Linked DNA regions of Anolis sagrei. The protein of the gene in region 1 purifies or fractionates together with the protein of each later gene. This does not show direct contact. Links are inferred from orthologs where the notes say so. Each region holds a gene or a part of one and is shown on either strand. Other genes may lie near its edges.

Region 1 (7,492 bases):
AAATCCCACATTATCTGCATTGAACTGGAATATATGGCAGTGTGGACTCAGATAACCCTGTTCAAAGCAGCTATTGGGTTTATATGGCTGTGTGAAAGGGGCCTAAGGCCTCTAGATCCTTGCCATATGTTGCCGTAATGTGACTGTACTTTAACTTCTATTAGTGCAGGTACAGAAATGGCTTGGGTTGCTTTTCTCTGGACACATTCCAGATTGTCAATATTCTTGAATTGTGGTGCTCACAAAGGCACATAGTATTCCAATGAGCTCTGACCAAAGTGGAACACAGTGGCACAACAACTTCTGTCAATAGTAAGACAATATATTCTTGTTGATACAGTCCAGAACTGCATTGGCGTGTGTTTAGCTTTTGATCAACCAAGACTCTTAGATCCTTGCCCAGGCTATGTGCTTTTATAGTTTCTACTGGCGCAGGTACAGAAAAAAATCAACAGCTGAGGGCATGACGGCTCCTATTTTAGACTGAGGTTGCAACCTTTACTTTGAATTATCACCCCGCCCCCAGCAAAAACTCCAGTTAAGAAAATAATGTACACAGAGATGCAGAAGGTATCGATCCATCTCTCTCAGTACTGCCTGCTCTACTTGGCAGCACCTCTTTAGGGACTTGGGCAAAAAAAGCTTCTTGTTTCATTTTTCATTGCACTCTTCCACTGAACTCAGTTTCATCCCATGAGTTATAACCTATAGGAAGACTGATACATCTGAGTTGACTAGATGGGTTGGAAGCACCTGGAAGCTGTTAAAGACTCTCATCTGCTAGATCTGTACCAATAAAAGAGCCTCATTTAATTCCTTGGTTATCATTCCCAGGTAATCACACCTAAGACCCAGCCATATGGCGGTAGTTCTGTCTTACCTATAGGGTTTTCTTAGGCAAGGAATATTTAGAGGTGGTTTTGCTTGTTCCTTCCTTTGAAAGGTAGTGTACAGCACCTGGCATTTGTTGACAGCAGATGCAGGGAATGCCATGGATGTAGCGTAGATTTCAGAAAGTCCTTCGTCAAGGTCCCCCATGACCTTCTGGCAAGCAAACTAGTCAAATGTGAGCTAGGCAAAACTACGGTTAGATGGATCTGTAATTAGTTAAGTGAATGAAACCAACGGGTGCTCACCAATGTTTCCTCTTCATCTTGGAAAGAAGTGACAAGCGGAGTGCCATAAGCAGGGTTCTGTCCTGGGCCCGGTCCTATTCAACATCTTTATTAATGACTTAGATGAAGGGTTAGAAGGCATGATCATCAAGTTTGCAGATGACACTAAATTGGGAGGGATAGCCAATACTCCAGAAGACAGGAGCAGAATTCGAAATGAACTTAACGGATTAAAGAGATGAGCAAAAACTAACAAAATGAAGTTCAACAGTGACAAATGCAGGATACTCAATTTAGGCAGAAAAAAATGAAATGCAAAGATACAGAATGGGGGACGCCAGGCTCGAGAGCAGTACGTGTGAAAAAGATATTGGAGTCCTCGTGGACAACAAGTTAAACATGATCCAACAATGTGATGTGGAGGCAAAAAAAAAAAAAAAGCCAATTGGATTTTGGGCTTCATCAATAGGAGTCTAGTGCCTAGATCCAGGGAAGTCATGCTACCCCTCAATTCTGCCTTGGTCAGACCACACCTGGAATACTATGCCCAATTCTGGGCACCGCAATTGAAAGGAGCTGTTGACAAGCTGAAGTGTGTCCAGAGGAGAGCAACCAAAATGATCAAGGGTCTGGAGAACAAGTCCTATGAGGAGCAGTTTAAAGAGCTGGGCATGTTTAGCCTTCAGAAGAGATGGCTGAAAGGAGACATGAAGAGGGCCTTGCATAAATATGTGAGAGGTAGTCATATGGAGGAGGGAGCAGGCTTGTTTTCTGCCGCCCTGGAGACTAGGACATGGAAAAATGACTTCCAACTACAGGAAAGGAGAGTCCACCTTAGGAACAGCTTCCTGACTGTGAAAGCTGTTCAGCAGTGGAACTCTCTGCCTCGAAGAGTGGTGAAAGCTTCTTTGGAGGCTTTTAAACAACTGGATGGCCATCTGTCAGGGGTGCTTTGAATGCGATTTTCTTGCTTCTTGTCAGGGGGTTGGACTGGATGTCCTACAAGGTTTCTTCCAAGTCATGTTACCCCTCTATTCTACCTTGATCAGACCACATCTGGAGTACTGTATCCAATTGAAGGGAGATGTTGACAAGCTAGAATGTGTCCAGAAGAGGGCGACTAAAATGATTAAGGGTCTTCCAACTCTATGATTCTATAATCCCAGTATGAACAAGGGCTGATCCTGCTTTGCTTCCAAGATGAGAAGGGTTTGGGCACCTGGATGAAGGTACAACAGGCATGGGCAAACTTCAGCCCTCCAGGGGTTTGGAAGTTCAACTCCCACAATTCCTAACAGCCAGAGTTGAAGTCCAAAAGACCTGGAGGGCTGAAGTCTGCCCATGCCTGTGTTAGAGCAGTGTTTCTCAGCCTGTGAGTCCCCAGATGTTTTGGCCTTCAACTCCCAGAAATCCTAACAGCTGGCAAACTGGCTGGGATTTGTAGGTCAAAACACGTGGGGACCCACAGACTGAGAACAACTATGTTAGAGGGTGGGGCAGTCCCTTCCATGCTTACCTGAGGGGAAAACAACTCCATGGTTTTACGTGGAAAATTTCTGTTTGAGCAAACAAAACAGGGGGAATTACTGGACCTTCCTATCTCCTTTTCAGATTTTTTGAGGGGAAAGAGGAAGGAAGGAAGGAAGGAAGGAAGGAAGGAAGGAAGGAAAGAAGGAAAGAAAGAGACAGGAAGGATGGAGAGAAAGGAAGGAGAAAGAGGGAGGAAAGAGAGAAGATAGGAAGGAGAGGAAGGAAGGAGAAAGAGGGAGAAAAGAGAGAAGATAGGAAGGAGAGGAAGGAAGGAGAAAGAGGGAGGAAAGAGTGAAGATAGGAAGGAGAGGAAGGAAGGAGAAAGAGGGAGAAAAGAGAGAAGATAGGAAGGAGAGGAAGGAAGGAGAAAGAGGGAGGAAAGAGTGAAGATAGGAAGGAGAGGAAGGAAGGAGAAAGAGGGAGAAAAGAGAGAAGATAGGAAGGAGAGGAAGGAAGGAGAAAGAGGGAGGAAAGAGTGAAGATAGGAAGGAGAGGAAGAAAGGAGAAAGAGGGAGAAAAGAGAGAAGATGGGAAAGAAGGAGAAAGAGGGAGGAAAGAGAGAAGATAGGAAGGAGAGGAAGGAAGGAGAAAGAGGGAGGAAAGAGAGAAGATAGGAAGGAGAGGAAGGAAGGAGAAAGAGGGAGGAAAGAGAGGAGAAGATAGAATCAAAGAGTTGGAAGAGACCTCATGGGCCATCCAGTCCAACCCCCTGCCAAGAATATTGCATTTAAATCACCCCTGAAAGATGGCCATCCAGCCTCTGTTTAAAAGCTTCCAAAGAAGGAGCCTCCACCACACTCTGGGGCAGAGAGTTCCACTGCTGAATGGCTCTCACAGTCAGGAAGTTCTTCCTCATGTTCAGATGGAATCTCCTCTCTTGTAGTTTGAAGCCATTGTTCCGCGTCCTAGTCTCCAGGGAAGCAGAAAACAAGCTTGCTCCCTCCTCCCTGTGGCCTTCTCTCACATATTTATATATGGCTATCATATCTCCTCTCAGCCTTCTCTTCTTCAGGCTAAACATGCCCAGCTCCTTAAGCCGCTCCTCATAGGGCTTGTTCTCCAGACCCTTTATCATTTTAGTCGCTCTCCTCTGGACACATTCCAGCTTGTCAATATCTCTCCTGAATTGTGGTCCCCAGAATTGGACACAATAATCCAGGTGTTGTCTAACCAAAACAGAATAGAGGGATAGCATGACTTCCCTAGATCTAGACACTATGCTCCTATTGATGCAGGCCAAAATCCCATTGGCTTTTTTTGCCGCCACATCACAAAAAAGCCAATGGGATTTTGGCCTGCATCAATAGGAGCATAGTGTCTAGATCTAGGGAAGTCATGCTACCCCTCTATTCTATTTTGAGAGGAGAAGATAGGAAGGAGAGGAAGGAAGGAGAAAGAGGGAGAGAAGAGAGAAGATAGGAAGGAGAGGAAGGAAGGAGAAAGAGGGGGGAAAGAGAGAAGATAGGAAGGAGAGGAAGGAAGGAGAAAGAGGGGGGAAAGAGAGAAGATAGGAAGGAGAGGGAGGAAGGAAGATCCCCACCGAAATGATTAAGAGGGAAATTGAGTAGAGGGGGGAGAAAAAAGTCCTACGACCCTCAGGAAGAGAGCATCCACCTCTCTCCCAGACGTGAAGCCCTTGAGGACCACAATCCACCCCCTCCCTTTATAAACCACCCTCCCCAAGGCCTCCTCCTCCTCCTCCTCCTCCAGGCAGACACCACGCCCGACGTCAGCAAGCGCCTCGTAGACGTCACGCCTTGACTCACCGCGACGTCATACCTCCCTCCAACCCTCCTCCTCCTCCCCCTCCCCTTTTGCCCGGGCAGGACGGAGTCGCGCGGCTCCTTTCCGCCTCTTTCCTTCCTTCCTTCCGCTCTTCCTCTTTCCCCCCAAAAATCAAGCCAAGGAGGCGGCAGCTTGTCCTCCCCCCTTCTCTCCCCTCCCCCCAGCTTCCGGTTCTGCTGCCATATTCCTTTTTTTTATTTTAAAGGCAGGGGAGGAAAACCCGCTGGGAAAGGGAAATAAAGCAGCGCAAGCGAAGGGAGGCAAGGAAGAGCTGCGTCCTGCTCGCCTTCTCCTCTCCCTTTGGATGCTCTTCGGGTCGGAGGAGGCGCTCCAAGGCTTCCTCATTCCGGAGGAAGGAAAAGGAGAAGAAGGAGAAAGGAGACGCCGGGCTTTCTGGAAGCCGCAGCGAAGGGACTGCTGCTGACATCACTTTCTCGCAAGCCGTCCAAGTTCTGGTCCCTTTCGAGGCTCAAGTCTCCAGCGAAGGAAAGAAAAGAAGGGAGAGAAGGAAGGCAAGACCCAGGCGCGCCTCCCGTCCTAGCAAAGCTCCTCCTGAATGAATACGCGGCGCTTCCTCGCTGGGCCGCCTTCCTCTCCCTCTCCTCCTGGGTTGCCTCTGTTTACTTCCAACTGAGCCCCCCTCTCCTTCCTTCCTTTGGGTTTGGGAAGAGGGAGAAGCACACCAAGGAAGGGAGGAAGCCAAGCAGACGTCGTCTATCAGCTGAGACCGAAAAGCCGGCGGAGGAAAGAGGAAGGAAGGTAAGCCGCTCCGCCGGTGGAGAGAAGCGTCTCTCCTGTTTGCAGGGAAGGAGACAGCTCACTACTTGGCTGGATGGGACTTAGACCCTCCAGGTGTTTTGGACTTCAACTCCCACCATTCCTAATAGCCTCAGGCCCCTTCCTTTCCCCGGCTGAGGGGGGAAAGGAAAGGGCCTGAGGCTGTTAGGAATGGTGGGAGTTGAAGTCCAAAACACCTGGAAGGAAAGGCCCAAGTTTGTCCATGGGTGCCGGTTAACTGAGAGTCTGCAGCACGTGTCTGTGTTTCGAATTTCATGTCTGAATATCCCTTTCTTTCTCCTCCTCTCCTTCCTTCAAGAAAAAGGAATATGGATTAATAATAATAATATTTTCGAAGGCTTTCATCACTGGGTTGTTGTAGGTTTTTCCAGGCTATATGGCCATGTTCTAGAGGCATTCTCTCCTGACGTTTCGCCTGCATCTATGGCAAGCCTCCTCAGAGGTTCTGAGGTCACATAGCCCGAAAAAACTTACAACAACTGGCCATGTTCTAGAGGCATTCTCTCCTGATGTTTCGCCTGCATCTATGGCAAGCCTCCTCAGAGGTTGTGAGGTCACATAGTCCGAAAAAACCTACAACAACCCAATAATAATAATAAAACTTTATTTCTAGACCGCCCTCTCTCTCTGAAGGGACTCAGGGCAGTTTGCAGACACAAAACAAAAAGGCAAACATTCAATACCTTCAAATGAATACAAAATACATAAGAATAATACAAGATAATGCACAGAAACAACCGTACACTTGCAACAATTAAGCATCGAGATGGAAATGATTGAAAAGCAATCCAGTAAGAGATGGTAAACTAAAACCTGAGAAAAGCATTACAATGTTTACCCTGTAAGCAATTATGATACAATTACATTGGAATGGGTTGTTTTGAGTTTTCCGGGCTGTATGGCCATGTTGCAGAAGCATTCTCTCCTGACGTTTGGCCCACATCTATGGCAGACATCCTCAGAGGTTGAGGGGTCTGTTTGGAAACTAGAAGAATGGGGTTTAAGCCTTCCTGAGTCCTCCTTTGGAGGTTGAGAAGGGCGGGATACAAATGCTCTAAATAAATAAATAAGTAAATAAATAATCTGTGGAATGTCCAGGGTGGGGGAAAGACCTCTTGTCTGCTGGAGGCATGTGTCAACGTTGCAATTGGCCACCTTGATTAGCATTTAATGGCCTGCAGTTTCAAGGCATGGCTAGTTGCTGCATGGGGGAATCCTTTGTTGGGAGGTGTTCGCTGACCCTGATGAATTCTTATCTGGAATTCCCCTGCTTTTTGAGGCTTGTTCTTTATTTACTGTTCTGATTTTAGAGTTTTTAAAAAACTGGTTTCCAACAAACCCCTCAACCTCTGAGGATGCCTGCCATAGATGTGGGCCAAACGTCAGGAGATAATGCTTTCTGGAACATGGCCATACAGCCCGGAAAACTCACAACAACCCATTGATTCCAGCCATGAAATCCTTTGACAACACAATAATATTAATAATAGGACTTTATTTCTAGAACGCCCTCTATCCTCAAAGGGACTCAGGATGGTTTACAGACACAAAACAAAAAGGCAAACATTCAATGCCTTAAGTAAATACAAACACATCAAAATAATACAAGATAATGCACAAAAACAACAGTAAACATACAACGAAGAATTATCCATCGTGATGAAAATAATTAAAAAAAACAAACCAATAAGTGATAGTAAACTAAAACATGAGTAAAACACTACAACATATACCCTAAAAGCAATTATGATACAATTACAATAAAATGGCTAACACCTGTATTCTTTTAAGATGTATTGTAGCAGCCAAAAAATACAAGTGGGTTATGGATATTGTGTGTATATGTATGTGTATGTATCTCTTTGCTCCTGCTCCTGAATTCCCCTTTTATTCTAATGGCAGCTATTTCCACTGAGTGGGTTCATCTTTCTCCCTTTCAGTAAAGGCGGGGAAAGAAAGGCAGAGCCTGGTTCTGATGCCTTGTTGTTGTTGTTGTTTGTGCTCAGTGTGCGTGAAAGGATGCAGGCCAGGATGCTTGGCCGCCAGGGAAGAGGATCCTTGGGGGGGGGGGGGGGGCTTTCTTTTGTTGTGGTTCAGTGTCTGCTTCTATGGGAGTGAGGGGAGGGGGCTTCCTGTCTGGTCCCAGGTGCCCTCCTCCCTCGCCCTCCCTCCCGCTTCTTACACTGAGAATCAAATCATTTGGGGGAAAAGAAACCAGGGCAGGAGGGAGGGGGAGAGGGCAACCCAGGAGCTGTTATCTAGGC
Region 2 (8,010 bases), on another chromosome or scaffold:
TTAAACATGTAGTTACTCTGCACTGTCTAGAAGTCTTCAGAGAATGGTTGAAATACAACATATTAAATAAATATGCAAATGTCACAAGGGAAAAGAGGCTGCCAGAAACTAAACAGGACTATTCAGACATTTAACATTTTTGGTAACTCCCACTGGCTGCTGCAATACAATTAGAATTGTGGAAAATATATATGAAAATGGCTGCATTTGCAAGACACTGATGGCAAAAGCATTTAAACACAGCACATAAAAAGGCTGAAAGTATAACATGATACTCAACTTACTTTTTGGATTGTGAACCATTTTTACAACCATCCCAACCAAGGCTAAGTTTTGCAGACGGGAAGGGGGGTGGCCATACTAAATGCACTCTTGTGTTTACTCACAAGTAGGCTCCATTAAGTTCTATGGAACGTACTTTTTGGTATTGTGTGCAGGCCTGGGGTATGAGGTACACCTGGCAAAGGGAAACAATCACAATAGGAGTCTAACATGCCAACATGGAAGGAAGAGTAAACTGAGACCACAATACATATACACTGGCAAATGTCCAGGCAATTTCTGAGTCTAGACTGGGGAAGTGGCAAAGTGAAAAAGCTTTCAGAGCCTGAGGGTAAGCTAGGGGCTAGATTAAGTTTTACATACAGCTTCACTACATCTATTGAAATGGTACTTGCAGAAAAAGTGATGAACCAAGTAATATTCGTTGCAGTGAGTCGTTGGAGTTGGGACTAAAATTGAATTTAGCCTAAAGGAAAGTAAGAGATGGAAAACTTTTAACTTATTCATTGCAGGTTTTTGTACAGAAAGAATATCCCTAAAGCCATATTATGAGATATATCAAAAAGTAAGGAGCGATCAACCTGTTTGTTTTTGTAAAAATTCAGAAAATTTACAAAATAAAATGACTTTTTCATTTGAAAAGACTCTTTGCTAACAAGAACTTATATCCAAGGTTTGCAAAACGCCATATACATAGCTTGAATTGAACCATGTTGTCATCCCCAATCTTAACCATGTTTACACAGAATCCAATTCCACGTTCAACAGCAGTTATTCAATATTAAAGCCAACAGAAGAGGCTTGTTCAACTCATTTTTGTTCAACCAAAAGAATCTTCCACTTCAGAATGCAGCAACCTGAAAGCAACTGCAAGACAAACATCTTTATTAGGGCTAAATAAAAATATTACACAGAATAGTATGCGAACTGTGAACTTCTTCCAAGCAATTCTGCAGGTTGGTTTTTAAGCAAAACCAGAATGCTGAACTCCTGGGGGGATTCAAAAGTTTGCTCACTACTTGGCATCACATTTTGGTTGGCAGAATGGGAACTACGCTGTTATTTTTAGGTTATCGTTGCTTCCTAGAGGATCAGCCTGAAATTTTTGTACATCAAGAAAAATATTTGATTTTACTCGATCGGTCATTTTCTCTTCCTTCCCCAAAGCATGTTGAGGAGGACACATGTCAGAATACTTTTCTCCCAATTTTGGTTTTGTAAAAAAAAGAGACCTAAGGAGAAAATATGAGGTTATGAGCAAAAGGACTGGGAACAGAGGTGAGGAACATAAAAATACAGGTTAAGCAGCCCTTTTCCCAAATCCCCAAAATGCTCCAAAATCCCAAAATGTTGCAATAGCAAACACTTTGCTTTCTGACGGTTCAAGGTAGTTAACTTTTGTTTCGCGCAGAAATGTATTTTTTAAATGGTGTGTAAACTGACCTTCCAGCTGTGTTTCAAAGATCTATGAAACAGCAACAAATGTGGAGTTTGGACGTGAGTTTCCATCTGTAACAAACTTTGTTTTGTGCCCCACAATATGAAAAACAGACCTCCTGGCTGTGTTTCTAAGGTGTCTATGAAACAGAAAGGAATGTGGAGCTTGGACTTGGATCCCATCTCCTATGCCTATGCAAACACTTCTCAAATTGAAAGGGAAAACAGGCAAAATCCCAAAAGACAACTGGTCCCAAGCATTTGGGAGAAGCTCAAGGCAAAGGAAGGAGGTGTGAGTTTAGATGAGGGGAAGACTTCCTAATGCAAGAGAATTGTGTGGAAAGTAAGGTTGGGGAAACCGAGGCGAAAGGGGAAGAAAGGAACTGAAAACTTGGGACAGGGATTCTGGGGAGGATTCTAATGTAAGGCACCAACCAGACTGCTCTCCCACTCTCCAAAAAACAAAAGCAAACAAAAAAACCCACCAGTAAAGGGAGAAGGAAATAACAAAACAAAACATAAAAGAAGGAGGGAGTGCTTGGAGGGGAACTGAGCAAAGGCATAGAGCTGAGAGAGAGAAATGTAAGGAGCATTGTGATAGTTCTAATTGGAAAGATGGGAATGGATAGTTCTGAGGGGAAACATGGGATTCGTGACGGGACATTGATAGTTCTGTGGGGAAATTTGGCGATTGTGAGGGACACTGTGATAGTTCTGAGGGGAAATTTGGGGGACATTGTGATAGTTCTGAGGGGAAATTTGGGGGTTGTGAGGGAAATGGTGATAGTTCTGAGGGGAAATATGGGAATTGTAAGGGACACTGTGATAGTTCTGAGAGGAAATTTGGGCATTGTGGGGGACACTGTGATAGTTCTGAGGGGAAATTTGGAGGACATTGTGATAGTTCTGAGGGGAAATATGGGAATTGTAGTAGTTCTGAGGGAAAATATGGAAATTGTGATAGTTCTGAAAGAAATACGGGAATTGTGATAGTTCTGAAAGGAAAGATGGGAATTGTGAGGGAAACTGTGATAATTCTGAGGGGAAAGATGGGAATTCTGGGGAGTTTGTGGAGCACTGTGATCATTCTGAGGGAAAAGATGGGAATTGTGATCGTCCTGAAGGGAAAGATGGGCATCCTGGGAGTTGAGTGAGGAGTTCTGAGGAGAAAGACGAGCATTGTGGTAGTTTTGTGGAGAGTCTGGTGGGGAAAGGCGTACCCCCCCCCCCCCCCAGTTGGGTTGGCCTTGCGGATTCTTTGCTCACCCAGGTCGTCCATGTTTCCTCCTCCGCCGCCGCTCCCCGCTCCGACCGCCGCTTGACTGGAGGCGCCGCAACTTTGGCCTCTGCTTGGCCGCCCCGCGCCTGCGCGCGACGCCCCCTGCCCTCTCCCCCTCCCTTCCCCTGGCCCAGCCAGGACCGCCCCTCGGGGCGCGAGCATCGACGCACGCGCAGAAGGCACCTTCGAAAACTAAGGCGGCCCGACAGCGCCGCCCACTCCCCTAGTGGCAGCGCCTGGGAGGCGCAAGGAAAGAATTGGGAGCGGGGCAGAGAAGGCCTAGGCAGAAGCTGTGTTCAATCGCTTCTGTGCAAATCTGGGAAATGGTGTACTACTATAGACAAATGCAGGAGACCAGAAGTGTTCAGAGAATATCTGCCTAGTGCCTACGCCTAAGGAGACAGAACCCATGACATTCTTTGATGCTTCTTTTAGGAAGCAGAATAAGTGCAATTTGGCAATGCTTTAACTGGCATGGCTCATTGCTATGGGATCCTGGAAGTTTGATTATTTCTGTGGCTTTCTCTGCCCAAGAATGCTCATGCCTCACCAAACTATGCCTGATGCAAGTTTTTAAAAATATATTTTTGTGTTTTTATCTATGTCATTTACTGTATATATATATTTATGTTTGTCTATATATTGTTGTTGTTCATTCGTTCAGTCGTCTCCGACTCTTCGTGACCTCATGGACCAGCCCACGCCAGAGCTCCCTGTCGGCCGTCACCATCCCCAGCTCCTTCAAGGTCCTCCAGTCACTTCAAGGATGCCATCCATCCATCTTGCCCTTGGTCAGCCCCTCTTCCTTTTGCCTTCCACTTTCCCCAGCACAATTGTCTTCTCTAAGCTTTGCTGTCTCCTCATGATGTGGCCAAAGGACTTCAACTTTGTCTCTAGTATCCTTCCCTCCAGTGAGCAGTCGGGCTTTATTTCCTGGAGGATGGACTGGTTGGATCTTCTCGCAGTCCAAGGCACTCTCAGAACTTTCCTCCAACACCACAGCTCAAAAGCATCTATCTTCCTTCGCTCAGCCTTTCCTAAGGTCCAGCTCTCACATCCGTAGGTTACTACAGGGAATACCATGGCTTTGACTAGGCGGATCTTTGTTGCCAGTGTGATGTCTCTACTCTTTACTATTTTATCGAGACTGGAGATTGCTCTTCTCCCAAGAAGTCTTCTGATTTCCTGGCCACAGTCTGCATCTGCAGTAATCTTTGCACCTAGAAATACAAAGTCTGTCACGGCCTCCACGTTTTCTCCCTCTATTTTCCAGTTGTCAATCATTCTTATATATACTGTATATATATTTATGTTCGTCCCCCTCGATGGACTGTCACCTTGTCGTGGTGAGGGGGCTTGCGTGTTCCAATGAAACTGCAGGCACAACAACTGGAATCGTGCAATCCCAGGAGTGGCCACGGGGGAGGTTCCAGACCAAGCACAGTCTGAAGACCCAAAGACCTCAATGGCAGAGCAGGCGGAGGATAATATGGTACATGTTACAATGGCTGTGAAGACGGAAGAAGGCTGCAACAGATTGAGAAGCCACGGTCATTGTGTTAAACTACATCACCAGTGGAACCTCACTCTGTGAAGACTGTGTGTTGATCAGTGTGCACTGACCTCCGCACATTAAAAAAACTCATGCACAGGCGTCTTCCAAAGAAAATAAAAACAAACCTACAAAAGTCCCATGGCGATCAGCGAGTGGTGACGGGGGCAGGACTGTGAAATATGGAAGCCCCTAGTCACAGACTGGCACATGGATGGATATGGACTCAGTCATTCTACCTCAAGGTCCGAGGCAGTTGAGTAGTTCGGCAGCTGTATCCATGACTGAGTAGCCCTTTTGAGGATCCACTCTGCTCACCCCACATGAGGAAGGGGCTAGAAAAGGTGCCCTAAACATAGTCTGCCTCTCTTATCCCTGACTGGACTGCCGCATCCAGTGGGGTCACCACCCTGCGGCCAAAAAAGGAAAATGAACTTTGGTACATGGAATGTACGGACACTGATGGACAACACTGACAGTGAACACCCCGAACACAGAACTGCCATCATTGCAAGAGAGTTGGGATGCTTTAACATCGACACAGCAGCCCTTCAGGAGACCCGGAGAGCAGGAGAGGGACAGCTGAAGGAAGAAAAAGGAGGCTACACCTTCTTTTGGAAGGGACTGCCCGAAGAAGACCAAAGAATGAACGGAGTTGGCTTTGCTATCAGAAATGATCTGGTGAAACATCTGACCGAAGCACCCACTGGCATCAATGAACGACTCTCAACCCTCCGAATTGAACTTGCCAAAAACTAACAGGCAACCATCATAAGTGCCTATGCACCAACACTAGATGCTGATGAAGACATCAAGGAAAAAAATTACTGTCAGCTGGACACCGTCCTATCGGAGATACCTAAGGAGGACAAAATCATCTTCCTGGGGGACTTTAATGCAAGTCGGGCGAGACTTCGACCTGTGGCCAGGGACCATAGGAAAAGACGGGGTTTGAAACAGCAACTTGAATGGCATCCTGCTTCTCACCAAATGTGCAGAACACAACCTTGGCATCAACACGCTCTTCCGCCAGAAAAAAACAAGTTCAAGACATCATGGAAGCACCCCCGGTCAAAGCATTGGCACCTCTTAGACTAAGGAATCACACGTGCCAGAGACCGCCATGACGTGCTCCTCACAAGAGCCATGACAGGTGCTGACGACTGCTGGACAGACCACAGGCTAATCCTAACCCAAGCGCAGACTCCAAGGAAGAAAGACAAGGTGCAAAATGAACACCCAAGCCCTTCAGGAGCCCTCAAATTGAACCCATCTCCAAACAGCACTCAAGGACCATCTACCCACAGAACACCCCGAAAATGTTGAGGAACATTGAAATAAACTGAAGACCTCCATCATCACAGCCTGTGAAGAAAGTATTGGATACCAAACCAAGATGCATCAAGACTGGTTTGATGAAAATGACGAGATCCAACAGCTAATTGACAAGAAAAGGAAAGCCTTCCAAACATGGCAGAGAGACGTCAACTGTGCTGCTAAGAAAAAGATCTACACCAGTGCAAAAGCTGAGGTCCAAAGAAGGACAAGAGAACTCAAGAACATCTGGTGGACAAAGAAGGCTGAAGAAATCCAACACCTGGCAGATACCCATGATGCTCAGGGATTTTTCAAAGCCACAAATGTCATCTATGGACCAAGAAACCATGGCACACAGCCTCTACACTCATCAGATGGAACCAAACTCCTGAAGGACCAAAAATCAATTACACTACGTTGGAAAGAACACTACCAAATTCTCCTGAATCGCAGCTCCAATGTGGCCGAAAAGGTTCTCTCACAAATCCCACAACAACAAACCAGGGATGAGCTTGCAGCACTGCCTAATCTGGAAGAAGTCAGCAATGCCATCAACCAACAAAAAATAACAAAGCCAGAGGACCTGATGGGATCCCTGCTGAAATCTTTAAAGAGGGAGGACCTGAGCTGACACAACAACTCCACCAGCTCATAGAAAAAGTGTGGGTGACCAAGAAAATCCCAGCAGATTTCAAGGATGCCACCATCATCACCCTCTTCAAAAAAGAGGAAAGAATGGACTGTGGAAACTATCGAGGTATCTCCCTTCTAACCTTCACTGGGAAAATCCTAGCAAGAATCCTTGCAAACTGCCTTCTACCCCTCTCAGAAGACACCCTCCCAGAATCCTAGAACGGCTTCCACCACTCCAGAGGAACCGTGGACATGGTCTTAACTGCACAACAGCTCCAAGAAAAATCTGCCTCTGTACATGGCATTCATTGACCTTGCAAAGGCATTTGACACAGTGAATCACAGCGCTCTCTGGACCATCCTCCAAAAAATCGGCCTGTCATTGAACATCGAGAAAACCAAAGTGCTGTTCCAGCAGTCACCAGCCAACCCCTCTCCAATGCCAGAGATACAGCTTAATGGTGTAACATTAGATAATGTTGACCATTTCTGCTACCTTGGCAGCCACCTCTCCACCAAAGTCAACATTGACACCGAACTACAACACCGCCTGAGTTCCACGAGTGCAGCATTTTTCCCAATGAAGCAGAGAGTGTTTGAGGACCGGGACATCTGTAGGGATACCAAGGTGCTTGTTTATAAAGCTATTGTCCTCCCAACCCTACTATATGTCTGCGAGACGTGGACTGTCTACAGATGTCACATGCAGCTCCAGGAACAATTCCATCAGTGCTGCTTCCAGAAAGTCCTGCAAATCTCTTGGGAAGGACAGGCAGACAAATGTCAGTGTGCTGGAAGAAGCAAAGACCACCAGCATTGAAGCGATGGTCCTCTGCCATCATCTCCATCTGCCTGACAACTGTCTCCCAAAGCAGTTGCTCTACTCCGAACTCAAGAATGGAAAATGGAATGTTGAAGGACAGGAAAATAGATGTAAAGATGGGCTCAAAGCCAACCTTAAAAACTCTGGCATAGACACTAAGAACTGGGAAGCCCTGGCCCTTGAGCGCTCCAGATGGAGGTCAGCTGTGACTAGCAGTGCTGCAGAATTTGAAGAGGCACAAATGGAGGGCGAAAGAGAGAAACGTGCCAAGAGGAAGGCGCATCAAGCCAACCCCAACTGAGACCGCTTCCCACCTGGAAACCAATGCCCTCACGGATAGGGCTCCACAGTTACCTATGGACCCACCAGAACACTGATCCTGGAAGACTATCCTACTCGGCGAACGAGGGATCGCCTAAGTAAAAGTAATTTATGTTTGCATGCTTTTGCACCCCGCCTTGGACCATCAGGAGAGGCAGGTAATACTTTACTCAAGTCTAGTGCACCATCTAATCTAATGCGCATCTCAATTTTCAAAACCTTGAAACCCCAAAAAGTATTTGCCGTATTACACAAATCTAATGCGCGCTCTAATTTTGGGAAAGTAATTTAATATAAAGGTGAGCATTAGAACCATGTAAATATGGAAATTAAATGTTGTTATGGTTATTATTTGAAACACAACAA
Region 3 (7,875 bases), on another chromosome or scaffold:
TCTTCTTTAGGGGTCTCTTTCAAATCTATGATACTATATCTCTCTGTGTGTGAATCATATATATCTATGTCTGGATGGCTCTTTGTCAGGAGGGCTTTGATTACGTCTTCTTGCTTTGGTGAAGGGTGTTGGACTGGATGGTATTTTCTGTTGGTCATGGGGGTTCTGTGTGGAAAGTTTGCCCCGATTCCATCGTTGGTGGGGTTCAGAATGCTCCTTGATTGTAGGTGAACTATAAATCCTAGTAACTACAACTCCCAATTGCCAAAGTCTATTTTCCACAAACTTTATCTGTGTTCATATTTGGGCATATGGAACATTTGTGCCAAGCTTGGTCCAGATCCATCATTGTTTGAGTCCACAGTGCTCCCTGGATGTAGGTGAACTACAACTCCCAAACTCAAGGTCAATGCCCACCAAACCCTTCTAGTGTTTTCTGTTCGTCATGGGAGTCCTGTGTGCTAGGTTTGGCCCAATTCCATCATTGGTGGAGTTCAAAATGCTATTTGATTGTAGGTGACCTATAAATCCCAGCAACTACAACTCCCAAATGACAAAATCAATTTTTTTTTTAGTGATGATCAGTTCTTGGGTTAGTAGGCGTCTTGTGGCCAAATTTGGCGGCAATTTGTCCAGTGGTTTTTGAGTTATGTTAATCCCACAAACGAACATAACATTTTTATTTATATAGATTTTGCACTGTTTATTTCATCTTGTTATTTTATGCATTTTGTTATGATGTAATTTTTCTGTTGTTTTGTATTTTATTTTGCTGTATTGTATTTTTGGGCTTGGCCTCATGTTAGCCGCCCCGTGTCCCCTTTGGGGAGATGGTGCCGGGGTACAAATAAAGATTATTATTATTATTACTAGTCATCACCTGCCATGTGTTGCTGTGGTCCAGCCTAGTGATTTAGAAAATAAAGTAACGAGAAAGTGCTGGTTTCTAATATATCTGTAATGTCTTTATGCTTGTGGGTAAACAGTATTTCTTGTTGTTTCTTTGTCAGTGTTGATGTAGCGATTGTCTGGTTTGCCTACGTTGGAACATATAATTGTCCTTCTTTAGGGCTCCCTTTCAAATCTATGGCACTATATCTGTCATATACATATATCTGTGTCTGTGTGAATCATACATAACTATCTATATCTATGGCTGGATGTCTCTTTGTCAGGAGGGCTTTGGTTATGTTTTCTTGCCCCGGTGAAGGGAGGTGGACTGGATGGCCTTAATGCAGCATTTCTTATTCTGGGGGTCGGGATGCCGGAGGGAGGTCATGAGGGGGTGTCGCAAGGGTCATCAGAGTTGCTGTTGTGGTTCTGTGTGGAAGGTTTTGTCCAATTCTATCGTTGGTGGGGTTCAGAATGCTCTTTGATTGTAGGTGAACTATAAATCCTGACAACCCTATATGATTCCGGCCCAGCGTATCTGTCCGAACGCATCTCCATTTACGTACCATCTCGGAGTTTGAGATCCTCTGGGGAGGCCCTGCTCTCGACCCCGCCTCTTTCACAAGTGAGATTGGCGGGGACGAGGAGCAGGGCCTTCTCAGTGGTGGCCCCTCACCTATGGAATTCACTCCCCGGGGAGATCAGATCAGCAACATCCCTCCTTTCATTCAGAAAGAAATTAAAGACGTGGATGTGGGACCAGGCGTTTGGGCAATCTGGCAGATGAATAAGGGACTGTGACGATAGATAGGAACTGGACAAGGTAGAGCGAAACATGAATTCTGAGTTGGCGAACGCTGTGTCTGAGATTGGCTATTGATTGTGTGATATATTGTTGTTTTTAATTGTTTTAATTGTTGACCATTTAATTGCTGGTTTTATATATTATTGTATTTGTGTAGGCACCAAGATGTGCCTTTTGTAAGCCGCCCTGAGTCCCCCCTCGGGGGTGAGAAGGGCGGGGTATAAGTACACGAAATAAATAAATAAATAAATAAACAACTCCAAATTGCCAAGGTCTATTTCCCCCAAACTCCATCTGTGTTCATACTTGTGGATATGCAGTACTTGTGCCAAATTTTGTCAAGATCCTTCATTTTTGAGTCCACAGTGCTCTTTGGATGTAGGTAAACTAACTATAACTCCAAAACACAAGGTTAGTGCCCGCCCAACCCTTCCAGTATTTTCTGTTCGTCATGGGAGTTCCATGTATAAATATGTGAGAGGAAGCCACAGGGAGGAGGGAGCAAGCTTGTTTTCTGCTTCCCTGGAGACTAGGACGCGGAACAATGGCTTCAAACTACAAGAGAGGAGATTCCATCTGAACATTAGGAAGAACTTCCTGACTGTGAGAGCCGTTCAGCAGTGGAACTCTCTGCCCCGGAGTGTGGTGGAGGCTCCTTCTTTGGAAGCTTTTAAACAGAGGCTGGATGGCCATCTGTCAGGGGTGCTTTGAATGCAATATTCCTGCTTCTTGGCAGGGGGTTGGACTGGATGGCCCATGAGGTCTCTTCCAACTCTTTGATTCTATGATTCTGTGTGCCAAGTTTGGTTCAATTCCATCGTTGATGGAGTTCAGAATGCTCTTTGATTGTAGTTGAGCTATAAATCCCAGCAACTACAACTCCCAAATGGCTAAATCATAACTTTTTGAGTGATGGTCACTCCTTGTGTTGTGAGACATTTTGTTGCCAAATTTGGTGTGATTTCGTTCATTGGTTCTTTTGTTTTTATGGAGTATTTATATAGATAGATAGATAGATAGATAGATTAAAAACAACCACACCCAAGTATGTTCATGAGGGTGGAGTAATGGGCCATGCAGGCCTCCTCAAAGGGCGGCCCTCCAGATCTCTGGGCCTCTAACTTCTACAGGCCCTCGCCAGTTTGTTCAATGGCCAGGAATCCTGGGAGCTGGAGGCCTAAGCAAGGAGAGGGCCGCAGCCTGAGCAGGCCTAGCCCAGAGAGTTCTCTGCGGGGCTCCGAAAGCGAGGCCCTTTCTCTCGCGGGGCGCCTTTCCCTCACCTGGTGTCGCCATCGGAAGAGGCTGGGCGTGTCGATATTGGGGTGAGTCTCGTCCTCATCGTCGGACACCTCGATGTGATCCCACACGCTGTAATCCACCATGGCGCTGCGGCTAGTGCGGCCCCTCCTCGGACTTCCGCTATGCCTCGTGCGTCATTTCCGCCAAACTTAGCGCCGCCGCCCCTTTCTTCCCTCCTGCTCGTCTCTGTGACGCTCACTGGGAAACAACAGAGCTACGATAAAATAGAGTGATGCGCCGCCTTGACTTCTGGGACCCACTCTGTGGAATTTTCCCTTTGCTAGGTTCTTGTAGGTTTTTTCGGGTTTTTTCCTTCCAGTAAATATAGAGATCTATATAAATAAAAATGTAATTTTGGGGGAGGGGGGTTCTAATTGAATGTGAATGTTTTTTAAGGTTTTGTGGGTTTTTTCGGGCTATATGATCATGTTCTAGAGGCATTTCTCCTGACGTTTCGCCTGCATCTATGGCAAGCATACTCAGAGGTAGTGAGGTCTATTGGAAATAGGAAAATGGGTTTATATATCTGTGGAATGGCTGGGGTGGGGCAAAGAGCTCTTCTCTGCTGGAGCTAGGTGTGAATGTTTCAGCTGACCACCTTCATTAGCATTTGAAGGCCTGGCTGAGCCTGGGAAAATTCCCCTGTTGAGAGGTGTTTCCTCTTTGCTGTTTTGCTGTTGTAATTTTAGAGTTTTTTAATACTGGTAGCCAGATTTTGTTCATTTTCATGGTCTCTTCCTTTCAGTTGAAATTGTCCACATGCTTGTGGATTTCAATGGCTTCTCTGTGTAGTCTGACATGGTGGTTGTTGGAGTGGTCCAGCATTTCCGTGCTCGCAAATAAAATGCTGTGTCCAGGCTGGTTCATCAGGTGCTCTGCTATGGCTGATTTCTCTGGTTGAAGGAGTCTGCAGTGCCTTTCATGTTCCTTGATGCGTGTCTGGGCAATGCTGCGTTTGGTGGTCCCTATGTAGACTTGTCCACAGCTGCATGGTATACGGTAGACTCCTGCAGAGGAGAGAGGATCCCTCTTGTTCTTTGCTGAACGTAGCATTTGTTGGATTTTCTTGGTGGGTTTGTAGATTGTTTGTATGTTGTGTTTCCTCATCAGCTTCCCTGTGCGGTCAGTGGTTCCCTTGATGTATGGCAGGAACACTTTTCCTCTGGGTGGATCTTCATCTTTACTCTCGTGGCTTGTTCTTGGTCTTGCAGCTCTTCTGATGTCTGAGGTGGAGTATCCATTGGCCTGGAGAGCCCAGTTGAGGTGGTTCAGTTCATCTTGGAGGAGGTGGGGTTCACAGATTCTCAGAACAGACCTCACTACCTCTAAGGATGCTTGCCATAGATTCAGGCGAAACGTCAGGAGAAATGCCTCTAGAACATGGCCCTATAGCCCGAAAAAACCTACAAGAACCTAGTGATTCCAGCCATGAAAGCCTTCGACAATACATTTCCCTTTGCTCTTTTGGCTGGATCTATATGCATGCAATTTATATAGCAGTGTAGCTCCAGTCTACAGTAGAAATAATGCAGCTCGACCCCACTTTAAACTGTCATGGCTCATAGCATCTAGTCCAGACCGTTAATTTTAAAATCTATAGAAATAAAAATGTAATGTTCGTTTGTGGGATTAACAGAACTCAAAAACGAACGAATTGACAACAAATTTGGACACAAAACACCTAATAACCCAATGTATGTCCTTCACTAAAAAAAATGATTTTGTCATTTGGGAGTTGTAGTTGCTGGGATTTATAGTTCACCTACAATAAAGAGCTTTCTGAACTTCACTAATGATGGAATTGAACCAAATTTAGCACACAGGGCTCCCATGACCAACAGAAAATACTGGAAGGGTTTGGTGGGCAGTGTCCTTTGTTTTTATAGTTGTAGTTCACCTACATCCAGAGATCACTGTGGACTCAAACAATGATGGATCTGGACCAAACTACACGAATACTCAATATGCCCAAATGTGAACACTGGTGGAGTTTGGGGAAAATAGAATCTTGACAATTGGGAGTTGTAGTTCCTGGATTTATAGTTCACCTACAATCAAAGAGCATCCTGAACCCCACCAATGACAGATTTGGGGCAAACTTCCCACACAGAACCCCCATGACCGACAGAAAATACTTAAGGCCATCCAGTCCAACTCCCTTCACCAGGGCAAGAAAACGTAATCAAAGCCCTCCTGATAAAGAGCCATCCAGTCATATAGATAGATATATATAATTCACACACAGTGAGCGATATAATATCATAGATTTGAAAGGGACCCCTAAAGAAGGACAATGATATGTCGCATGTTCCAGAGTAGGCAAACCAGACAATCTCCACATCAACATTGACATAGAAAAAACAAGGAATACTGTTTCTTTCTTCTTCTTTACCTCTTTCTTTCATTCTTTTCTTTGCTGTTTGGTTCCTGACCTCATGATCATGGGGAAAAAAGCAAAGTATGGATCATCAGTGTTGTAATCCCAGGCAACAGCAGAATTGATGAGAAGCAACTGGAAAAGCTGACATGGTATGAGGATTTAAAGATCAAACTGCAAAACTGGTACAAGCCAGTAAAGGTGGTCCCAGTGGTGATCAGCACTCTGAATGCAGTGGTTCCAGGATCCACTGTGGATACCAAAATCTACGCATCCTTACATCCATTGCATAGTAAAATGGAATCCCTTCGACAAAATTTAAGTTTTGCATTTTGGATCTTTTTATATATATTGAAGATGTGGATGGTAGAATCCATGGATGCAGAATTTGTAGATGGGGGGTTGACTGTATTATTATAATGTTTTCTCACCTCAGCAGCATAGGATTCTGTCAAGAAATTACCTATCAGGCCATCCTGCCCTTTAGAGGATGAATATCACTCCCCTGTTGGTTTAGGGCAGAGCTTTCCAACCATTTCATGCTGGCAAAACAGTTTTTAGACATGTATCATTGAGCGACACATTAATTCAGTTTTAAGAATAAACCAGACGTTAAACTGGCCTCTTATAAGACACACAGATATTTACACACATTGCAATAATACCAATATGTATGGGGACACAACATAACTCAGGAAAATCTTTCTTTTTCGAAGGCTTTCATGGCCGGAATCACTGGGTTGATTATATGCAAATCAAGGTGGTCAGTTGAAACATTCACACCTAGCTCCAGCAGACAAAAGTCTGCTGGAGCTAGGTAAATCTATCTACCAAACTATCTATCTCTATCTAATCCATTTATCTGGAGAAATGCTGGGAGTTGCAGTCCAGGAAAAGAAAATTGGAAATATGCAGGCAGAGTCGGCCCTAGGTCATTTTCAATGGTAAGCAAACAGTATTTTGCCCCCCCCCCCCCCCTCCCCAACCAATCACTGATATATACTTTCTGTTCATCCTGGGAGTTCTGTGTGCAATATGGCAATATGGTTCAATTCCATCATTGGTGGAGTTCAGAATGCTCTTTGATTGTAGGTGGACTATACATCCCAGTAACTACAACTCGCAAACGTCAAGGTCTATTTTCCCCCAAGAGCGCCTCAAGAGCGCCCCTTGGCAAAATCAACTATATTGCAAATGCTTACTTTGCGTAATGGGTTGAGCCGCCCCTGTATGCAGGAAATCTAAGGAGAAGAAAACTTGCATCTTGGAAGCAGTTCATTTGGATTGTCCTCCTCTCCTAAAGGGCCTGGTATAGGGGATGCTGGGATCTGTAGTCCGGAAGAGAGTGTGGATATGCTATTGTGTGTTTTGTTTGCCGGGGTAGATGTTTTTGCACATGCACTGTAGTATCTTTTGGGGGGGGGGGTTGACTTTTTAAATCCCTCCCACTGTGTTTTTCAGTGTTCTTGTGAGTGATGGTTACTCGCTGGCCTGATAGGTGTATTGTGTCCAAATTTGGTGTTAATTCATCCAGTGGTTTTTGAATTATGTTAATCCCACAAACAAACATTACATTTTTATTTATATAGATTTGTTACCCATGCAGTTCCAGATGCACAAGCTAGACAACCGCAATGGCCAAAGATAAAAGACTGAAATATAAGGACTTGTTGTTTCTGTAAGGAACAGGGTTGTCCCAAGTCATTAGCTGTCAGGGGAAGAGGAGGAAATTCCTGTCTACCTCCCACACCAAAGCAAGCCGTGTTATTTTGGCATCTGAAGCAGAAAATGTCCCTGTTGAAAACACTCTACAAGTAAACTAAACAGTTGTTTTCAGGACACTCCAAATCAGCTGTTTGAAGTTAATGCCACATATTCCCTTCATGGGAAGGCTCCACTATTAAAGACTAATGAACTCCAGGGTTACCATATATAGTAATCATGTGGGATTTTTCTTCATGGTAGAGACTACATTAGTAATACAAAATGGATTGTAAACTTAATGGAACAAAATTACATTATATCAACAATTACAATTACTTCTACTAATAATAATAAACACTGCTACACTAGTCTTACTCCATTGTCACAGGAGAATTGCAATGCCTATGAAATATATTTCTAACTAGCCGTCCCCTGCCACGCATTGCTGTGGCCCAGTCTGGTGATCTGGAAAATAAAGTAATGAGACAGTGTTGGTTTCTAATATATGTAATTTCTTTCTGCTTGTGGGTAAACAGTATTTCTTGTTTCTTTGTCAGTGTTGATATGGAGATGGTATGGTTTGCCTACTCTGGAACATGCAACATGCAAATTGTTCTTCTTTGGGGGTCCCTTTCAAATCTATGATACTATATCTCTGTGTGAATGATATATATCTATCTATATCTATGGTTGGATGGCTCTTTGTCAGGAGGGATTTGATTACGTATTCTTGCCCTGGTGAAGGGTGTTGGACTGGATGGCCTTAAGTATTTTCTGATGGTCATGGGGGTTCTGTGTG
Region 4 (7,171 bases), on another chromosome or scaffold:
GCCATGTTCTAGAGGCATTTCTCCTGACGGAGAAATGCCTCTAGAACACGGCTCTATAGCCCGAAAAAACCCACAAGAACCTTTCTGAGTGTTGTTCTTTATTTACTATCCCAATTTTAGAGTTTCTGAAATACTGGCAGACAGATTTTGTTGATTTTCAATCAGGGCCAGCTAATCACCTCCCAACAAAGGAGTCCTCCAGGCAGGAAGCAGCCAAGCTTTGAATCTGAAAGGCCATTCAATGCTAATCAAGGTGATCAATTGCAGCATTCACACTTGCCTCAAGCAGGCAAGAGTTCTTTCTCCCACTTTGGACATTTCCCCAGGCAGGAAATAGCCAAGCTTTGAAGCTGAAAGACTATTCAATGCTAATCAAGGTGATCAATTGCACCATTCACACTTGCCTCAAGCAGGCAAGAATTCTTTCTCCCACCCTGGACATTCCACAGATATATAAACCCCACTTGCCTAGTTTCCTAAAAAACTCACAATCTCTGAGGATGCCTGCCATAGATGTGGGCGAAACATCAGAAGAAAATGCTTCTGGAACATGGCCATACAGCCCGGAAAACTCACAGAAACCTGGAAATTGGTTAACTTTTGAGGAGAGGCTACCTGGCTATCGTGCAACTTGGCAACCTCACTTGTTAATCCAATACACATCCAAGGATAGGAAAGCACTCTGCACATGCTCAACCTCCCTCTCTGTTGCTATCATTACCGCCACATAAGGAATGACCCTTGGCATAGAGGGAAGGATCCATGAGGCTGGGCCCTGCTGAGTCTAGGCAGGTCTCCAAAAAAGCGGTGGCAGCCAAATTCCAGGCACTTGGTTTCCTTTACGAAAAGCAGCAACCCTCCTTGATCAACAACATTTGAAAAGACAAAACCCAACCATCGCCACCACCCTGAAGGGAAAAATATCAACACACACATGCATACACATACTCCCTTCAAAAATATATATAGGAGGAATAATGCCTCCATGGTTGTCTTGATAAAGCTATAATTGAAGTCTTGGGGGAGATAAAGTGGGATCTAAATAAAATAATAATAATAATAATAATAATAATAATAATAATATGTATTTAGTAGGAGAAATAATGCCTCCATGGTTGTCTTGATAAGGCTATAGTTGAAGTTGCTTTGAGCCCCTCTTGGGGGAGATAAAGTGGGGTCTAAATAATAATAATAATAATAATTATTATTATTATTTAGTAGGAGGAATAATGCCTCCATGGTTGTCTTGATAAGGCTATAACTGAAGTCACTTTGAGTCCCTTTTGGGGGAGATAAAATGGGGTCTAAATAATAATAATAATAATGATAATAATATGTAGTTAGTAGGAGGAATAATTCCTCCATAGTTGTCTTGACATGGCTATAATTGAAGTTGCTTTGAGTCCCTCTTGGGGGAGAAAAGGTGGGGTCTAAATAAATATATTATTATTATTATTATTATTTAGATTTATAATTAGATTATAATTTAGATTCTCACCTAAACTTGGGAAATGTTTAGCGCGTTTGGTGGGGACACGGGACAGGGCCTTTTCTGTGGCGGCCCCCCGACTCTGGAACGCCCTCCCAAAGGATCTCAGACAGGCCCCCACTCTGGCCGTTTTCAGAAGGAATTTAAAAACTTGGCTGTTCCGTTGTGCCTTCCCAGACTAGGAACCCCCACCCCAAGTCCTAGTAGCACTTTAGCATAACTAACTGTCGCTGCACACCACACTTTTAATCTTACGTGCCTCCTGCCATTTCAGCACTTTTAACCCTTGTGCCCCAGTGCGCCGGCTGAACCAGTTTTAATAAGGTCTTGATGTACTGTCATTGTCGTTATTTTTGCTTATTATCTGATTTGCTTAGTTATTGTGGAGTTATGTTATTTTGTTTATTGTTTTGATTTGCTGTTATTGTGATGTTACGTTTTACTGTACTGTGTTTTGAGGCTTCGGCCTGTGTAAGCCGCATCGAGTCCTCCGGGAGATGCTAGCGGGGTACAAATAAAGTTAATAATAATAATAATAATAATAAATGTCAGAGGTGAGATCCAATACAACAGCCAACGCAGTGATCTTGTTTGCTGTGTACTAATCTTTTTGTCTTCCAAATCCTGATAATTCACCTGGATGTTGGCCTGAATGCTTTCAGATAGCCTTAGGAATGAAAGGAGGCGCCTCCACCTGCCTTCAGCAGCCAGGTTTCATTTACACAAAGGAGGGATTCCCACCTAAATGTTTTCGAACGGGCATGGGCCAACTTTGGCCCTCCAGGTGTTTTGGACTTCAACTCCCAGGAATGGTGGGAGTTGAAGTTCAAAACACCTGGAGGGCCAAAGTTGGCCCATGCCCGTTTTAGATGAACCTCCCGATGGCAAGAGCTTCCTCTGGAGGTTGTGAAGCAGAGGCAAGGATGGCTATCTGCCGGGAGGGCTTTGATTGCATTTTCCAGGGAGGGCTGGACAGGACGGCTTTTGGGGCGCCTCCCAACGCAAGGGAATTGAATCAGGAGACGAACTCCGCACGGTTCAACAAAACCCAACCATGTGTACGCCACTAACTTCTGGGAATAAGGCATAAAGGCGCTGGAACAAGTGGCACTGGCAGCCTGGATGCCTCTCCCTCTTCCCTTCCCTTTCCCGGCTTGATTACCTTGATTGCTGGAGGCGAGGCGTCTCGGTTCAGCCGCCACGCACGGGGATGCCTTGGCTTCAGCTCCCGCCACGGAGCCCTCGCTTTCCACGCCTGGCGAGGAAGGAGGGAAGGAAGGAGGGAGGGAGCCACCTGGAGGGAGGAGGCGCCTGGCGACACAGGGAAGGAGGGCGGGCGGGCTGGCTGGCGGGGCTCTCTCTCTCTCACTCACTCTCTCTCTGCCGCGATGGTGGCGGCTCCCAGCGGCCAAGGGGCTGCCCCTCCTTCTCTTCGCCTCCCCAGTCGCTCCTCCTGACCTGCCCGTGACTCACGAACCGGAGGGAAGCGAAAGGAGGCGCGAAGACAGCACAGCAGGCGTTGAGTGGACCTGCCCGCCTCCCCAGAAAGCCTACGGTGGCCACACAAGGAAGGAGTTCCCGCAGTCACTGCTACTGACCCGCCTCTTCTCTCTCCCACAGAGGCTGGGTCTTCTATAAATGCCGCGATCCCCTTCATACAGTTTCTCATGTTGTGGGGAACCATACAATTATTCTCGTTGCTACTTCATAATAGTCACTGTTATGAAGCGTCGTGTAAATAATGTAAGTTGGCTAAAGCTCAGGAATGGGCAAACCCAGGCCCTTGGGTTTTTTTTCTCAGACCCTCCCCCCCCCCCCCTCACACATACACACACACACCATCCTATCATTCCTTCTCTTTCCTTCCTCCTTTTCTCTCTCCCTCTGTCACTCTCCCACCATCCTATCATTCCTTCTCTTTCCTTCCTCTTCTCTCTCTCTCTCTCTCTCTCACAAACACACACAATCCTATCATTCCTTCTCTTTCCTTCCTCCTTCTGTCTCTCACCATCCTATCATTCCTTCTCTTTCCTTCCTCTTTTCTCTCTCTTTCTCTCACCATCCTACAATTCCTTCTTTCCTTCCTCCTTCTCTCTCTCCTTCTGTCACTCTCTCACCATCCTATCATTCCTTCTCTTTCCTTCCTCCTTCTCTCTCTCTCTCACCATCCTATCATTCCTTCTCTTTCATTCCTCCTTCCCTCTCTCTTTCTCCCCACTTCCTTCCCTTTCAAGCTTTCGTCCTTCTTTGCTCCCTCTTTCCCTTTCTCCTTCCTTCCTTTTTTGTCTTTTTTCCCTTCTCTCTTTCCTTCCTCCCTTCCCTCGTTCTCCCTCCCTCCCCCATTCCCTTTCACCCTTTTGTCCTTCCTTCCTTCTCTCTTTCTTTCCTCCTTCCCTTCCTTGCACTCATCTCTTCCTCCCTTCTCTTTTTCCTTCCTTCCTTCCTTCCTTCCTTCCTTCCTTCCTTCCTTCTTTCTATCCATCCATCCATCCATCCTTCCCCTCCATCTTTTGATCCTTCTTTCCCTTTTGTCTTTCCATCTGTTTCTCTTTCCTCCTTCCCTCCATTCTCTTCCACCTTTTCATCCTTCTCTTCTACCCTTCTCTTTTACCTTCCTGCCTTCCATCCTTCCCCTCCAGCATTTCGTCCTTCCTTCCCTTTTATCTTTCCTTCCTTCTTTCTTTCATCCCTTCCCTCTTTCTCCTTCCCTCCATTCCCTTCCACGTTTTCGCCCTTCCTTTTCTTTTTCCTTCCTTCTCTTTCCTTCCACCTTCCATTCCTCCTTCCATCCTTCTCTTCCTTCTTTTTCCTTCCTTCCATCCTTCCCCTCCACCCTTTGTTCTTCCTTTCTTCCCTTTTGTCTTTCCTTCCTTCTCTCTTTCCTTCCTTCCCTCTTTCTCATTCACTCCATTCCCTTCCACCCTTTCATCCTTCCTTCTCTCTTTCCTTCCTCCTTCCCTCCCTCCCTCCTTCTCTTGTCTTCCTCCCTTCTTTTTCCTTCCTGCTCCCTCCCTCCCTTCATCTTTCCCCTTCACCCTTTTGTTCTTCCTTCCTTCTTTTTCTCCCTTTTGTCTTTCCTTCCTTCTCTCTTTCCTTCCTCCCTTCCCTCTTTCGCCTTCCTTCAAATAGTGTTATCCTTTATCTGAAATGCTTGGGACCAGACAAATTTGTGGTTATTATTATTATTATTATTATTATTATTATTATCATTCCCATTATTATTATTACTACTACTATTTGCAGTTTGACTCCACTTTAATTGCCCTGGCTCTATGCTATGAAATCCTGGGAGTCGTAGTGTTGTGTGGCACCAGCTCTCATTGGAAGAGAAGGCTAAAGACTTTGTAAAACTGCAGCTCCCAGGTGCCAAATTATGTTAATCTTACAGTGTAGATGCACCCATCGAGTCACCATGGAGTGCCTAGAAATTTGTTAAGTCCCATATTTGAATTTGTATTATGAAAACATGAAGTTCTTGGTTGCCTTAGAGAGCAAAAGAGTTTTTTTGCATTGCAGGTCACTGGTATAGCCTTCTTTCCAATCATCCATCTATCCATTCATCTATCCACCCATCTATCAAATAATATGAAATATAACCTGATGAGACACCATTGTCATGCATATGGTTTTTAAATGTTTATTTATGGTTTTTAAATGTGTATTTATGTTTATGTTATATATTATTTATGTTTAATATGTTATATATAAGTTTAATTGCTGTTGATTTAATGCTGTTTTTGATTTGTTGAAAACTGCTTTGGGTCTTTTTGGGGAGAAAAGCGGGATATAAAGAATTATTATTATTATTATTATTATTATTATTATTATTGTCTGATATGCAGGATGTATTTTCATTCACTGAACCACATTTGGCATAAATACCTGATATGCCCAAATTTGAATACTGGTGGGGTTGGGGGGGGGGGGAGTTATTGATTTGTTTCATTTGGGAGTTGTAGTTGTTGGGATTTAGAGTTCACCTACAACCAAAGAGCATTCTGAACTCCACCAATGATGGAATTGAACCAAACTTGGCAGACAGAAATCCCATGGCCAACAGAACATACTGGAAGGGTTTGTTGGGCATTGACCTTTAGTTTTTGGAGTTGTTGTTCACCCACATCAAGAGAGCACTGTGGACTCAGACAGTGATAGATCCGGACCAAACTTGGCACAAATTCTCAATATGCCCAAATGTGAACTCTGGTGGAGTTTGGGAAAATAGACCTTTGACATTTGGGAGTTGTAGTTGATGAGATTTATAGTTAATCGACAATCAAAGAGCATTCTGAGCCCCACCAATGATAGAATTGGGCCAAACTTTGAAGGGGGTGACTCGAGCCTCCCTCCAGCCTCATACGCTCTCCCTTGCCTGCAAATGCGCACAATGCTGCCATGCTCCAAGCATGCCTGCTCTCCCCTCCCTGGTTGGAGTCTCAGAAACAGCTTTCCCCTTGGCTGAGAGGCTAGCTGAGAGGCTGGCCAATCACAGCAGGAGGAAGGATTTTGGTGGGAAGATTCACTAACTGTTTCCAAAAGGAAGAGAAGGACAAGCAGATAGATCTTCAGCCTCCTCTGCCAAAGGGGTTCTTAAGACCATCAGAAATATATGTTTTCTGATGGGCTTTGGAAACCCTTCTGAAACCCCCTTGTGACCTCCATCAGGGTTCCTGACCCCCAAGTTGAGAAGTGCTGCTCTACACTGTTGTATATGCCAGGGTCTGATCCTATAATTATCTGCTTTAAACTGGATTCTATGAGTCTACACCACCACATAATCTGAGATCAGTTCCTGGAATATCCCACAGTGTTGATCCAAACCTAAACTAAATGAAATGCCACTTGTTATACAAATAAAGGGTTGCACTTCCTTATAGGGAAACACCTGGGCCATTTGAGAAAGATGCACTTTCACTTTGCCTCTAGTTCCATCTACACTGCTATATAATCCAGTTTTTGGATTCAGGTGATCTGCTTTGGACTGAATTATATGAATCTACACTGCCTCCTCATCCAGTTCAAAGCAGATGATTCAGAAACTTGATTCCAGGCAGTCCTCAAGTTGGCAACAAAATAGGTTCTGCGGGTTTGTCCTTAAAAACTGAATTTGGATGTAAGTCAGAACTATAATATCCCCTTCACTTTTCTTTTAGCTCCAATCTTTAGGAGCAACATATTCTAAATAAAAATAAGTCTAATCGTGTCTGACTCCGAGGTGTGTTGCAGAAGCTGGGGCTAACAGTGGGAGATCACCCCGCTCTCCGGATTCAAACCACCGACCTTTCAGTCAGCAAGTTTAACAGCTTAGTGAACGGGGGAGGGGGCTCCAAAACTCTCTCTCTCTCTAATATATCTCCTTGTTTTTGCACACACACACACACACATTCTTATTCCAATCACTTTGGATAGCATAGGGAAGGGTTAACACCTTTGCTTTGCTGTCTGTGTCAGCAGATTTCACCTCACTTTCTGCCCCTGTGAATACGATTTTGCAAAATTTGGCTTGTTGTGGAAACAAAGATTGGCGATAAAGCATTGGAGACACCTTTCCCCCCATTATAACTCTTTTCAAGAGTTAATTTCCCTTCCGTGAGGTAGATTTCTCTCACTTTCTGCTGTCTCACCCCCTCCCCCACATTTGTAACTCAGGGAGTGCCTGTGAAATGGCAGTGTGGATCCAGC

What was found.
Region 2: the proteins of SRC (region 1) and PXN purify together in Homo sapiens (co-immunoprecipitation; 4 studies listed by BioGRID and IntAct, with this or other methods). This does not show direct contact. The link is inferred for Anolis sagrei from reciprocal best matches to the Homo sapiens genes SRC and PXN.
Region 3: the proteins of SRC (region 1) and CDC37 purify together in Homo sapiens (affinity purification with mass spectrometry; 3 studies listed by BioGRID and IntAct, with this or other methods). This does not show direct contact. The link is inferred for Anolis sagrei from reciprocal best matches to the Homo sapiens genes SRC and CDC37.
Region 4: the proteins of SRC (region 1) and MET purify together in Homo sapiens (co-immunoprecipitation; 4 studies listed by BioGRID and IntAct, with this or other methods). This does not show direct contact. The link is inferred for Anolis sagrei from reciprocal best matches to the Homo sapiens genes SRC and MET.

The regions. Positions count from the first base shown.
Region 1 is NC_090024.1:216,704,472-216,711,963, forward strand, and holds the start of SRC (proto-oncogene tyrosine-protein kinase Src), read left to right. Parts: upstream 1-4,430; 5' UTR 4,431-5,189; intron 5,190-7,492. UniProt on the Homo sapiens protein: Non-receptor protein tyrosine kinase which is activated following engagement of many different classes of cellular receptors including immune response receptors, integrins and other adhesion receptors, receptor protein tyrosine kinases, G protein-coupled receptors as well as cytokine receptors.
Region 2 is NC_090034.1:45,993,886-46,001,895, forward strand, and holds the start of PXN (paxillin), read right to left. Parts: upstream 3,095-8,010; 5' UTR 2,999-3,094; coding exon 2,986-2,998; intron 1-2,985. UniProt on the Homo sapiens protein: Cytoskeletal protein involved in actin-membrane attachment at sites of cell adhesion to the extracellular matrix (focal adhesion). Recruits other proteins such as TRIM15 to focal adhesion.
Region 3 is NC_090022.1:161,784,314-161,792,188, reverse strand, and holds the start of CDC37 (hsp90 co-chaperone Cdc37), read right to left. Parts: upstream 3,136-7,875; 5' UTR 3,079-3,135; coding exon 2,977-3,078; intron 1-2,976. UniProt on the Homo sapiens protein: Co-chaperone that binds to numerous kinases and promotes their interaction with the Hsp90 complex, resulting in stabilization and promotion of their activity. Inhibits HSP90AA1 ATPase activity.
Region 4 is NC_090025.1:131,229,711-131,236,881, forward strand, and holds the start of MET (hepatocyte growth factor receptor), read right to left. Parts: upstream 3,022-7,171; 5' UTR 2,652-3,021; intron 1-2,651. UniProt on the Homo sapiens protein: Receptor tyrosine kinase that transduces signals from the extracellular matrix into the cytoplasm by binding to hepatocyte growth factor/HGF ligand. Regulates many physiological processes including proliferation, scattering, morphogenesis and survival.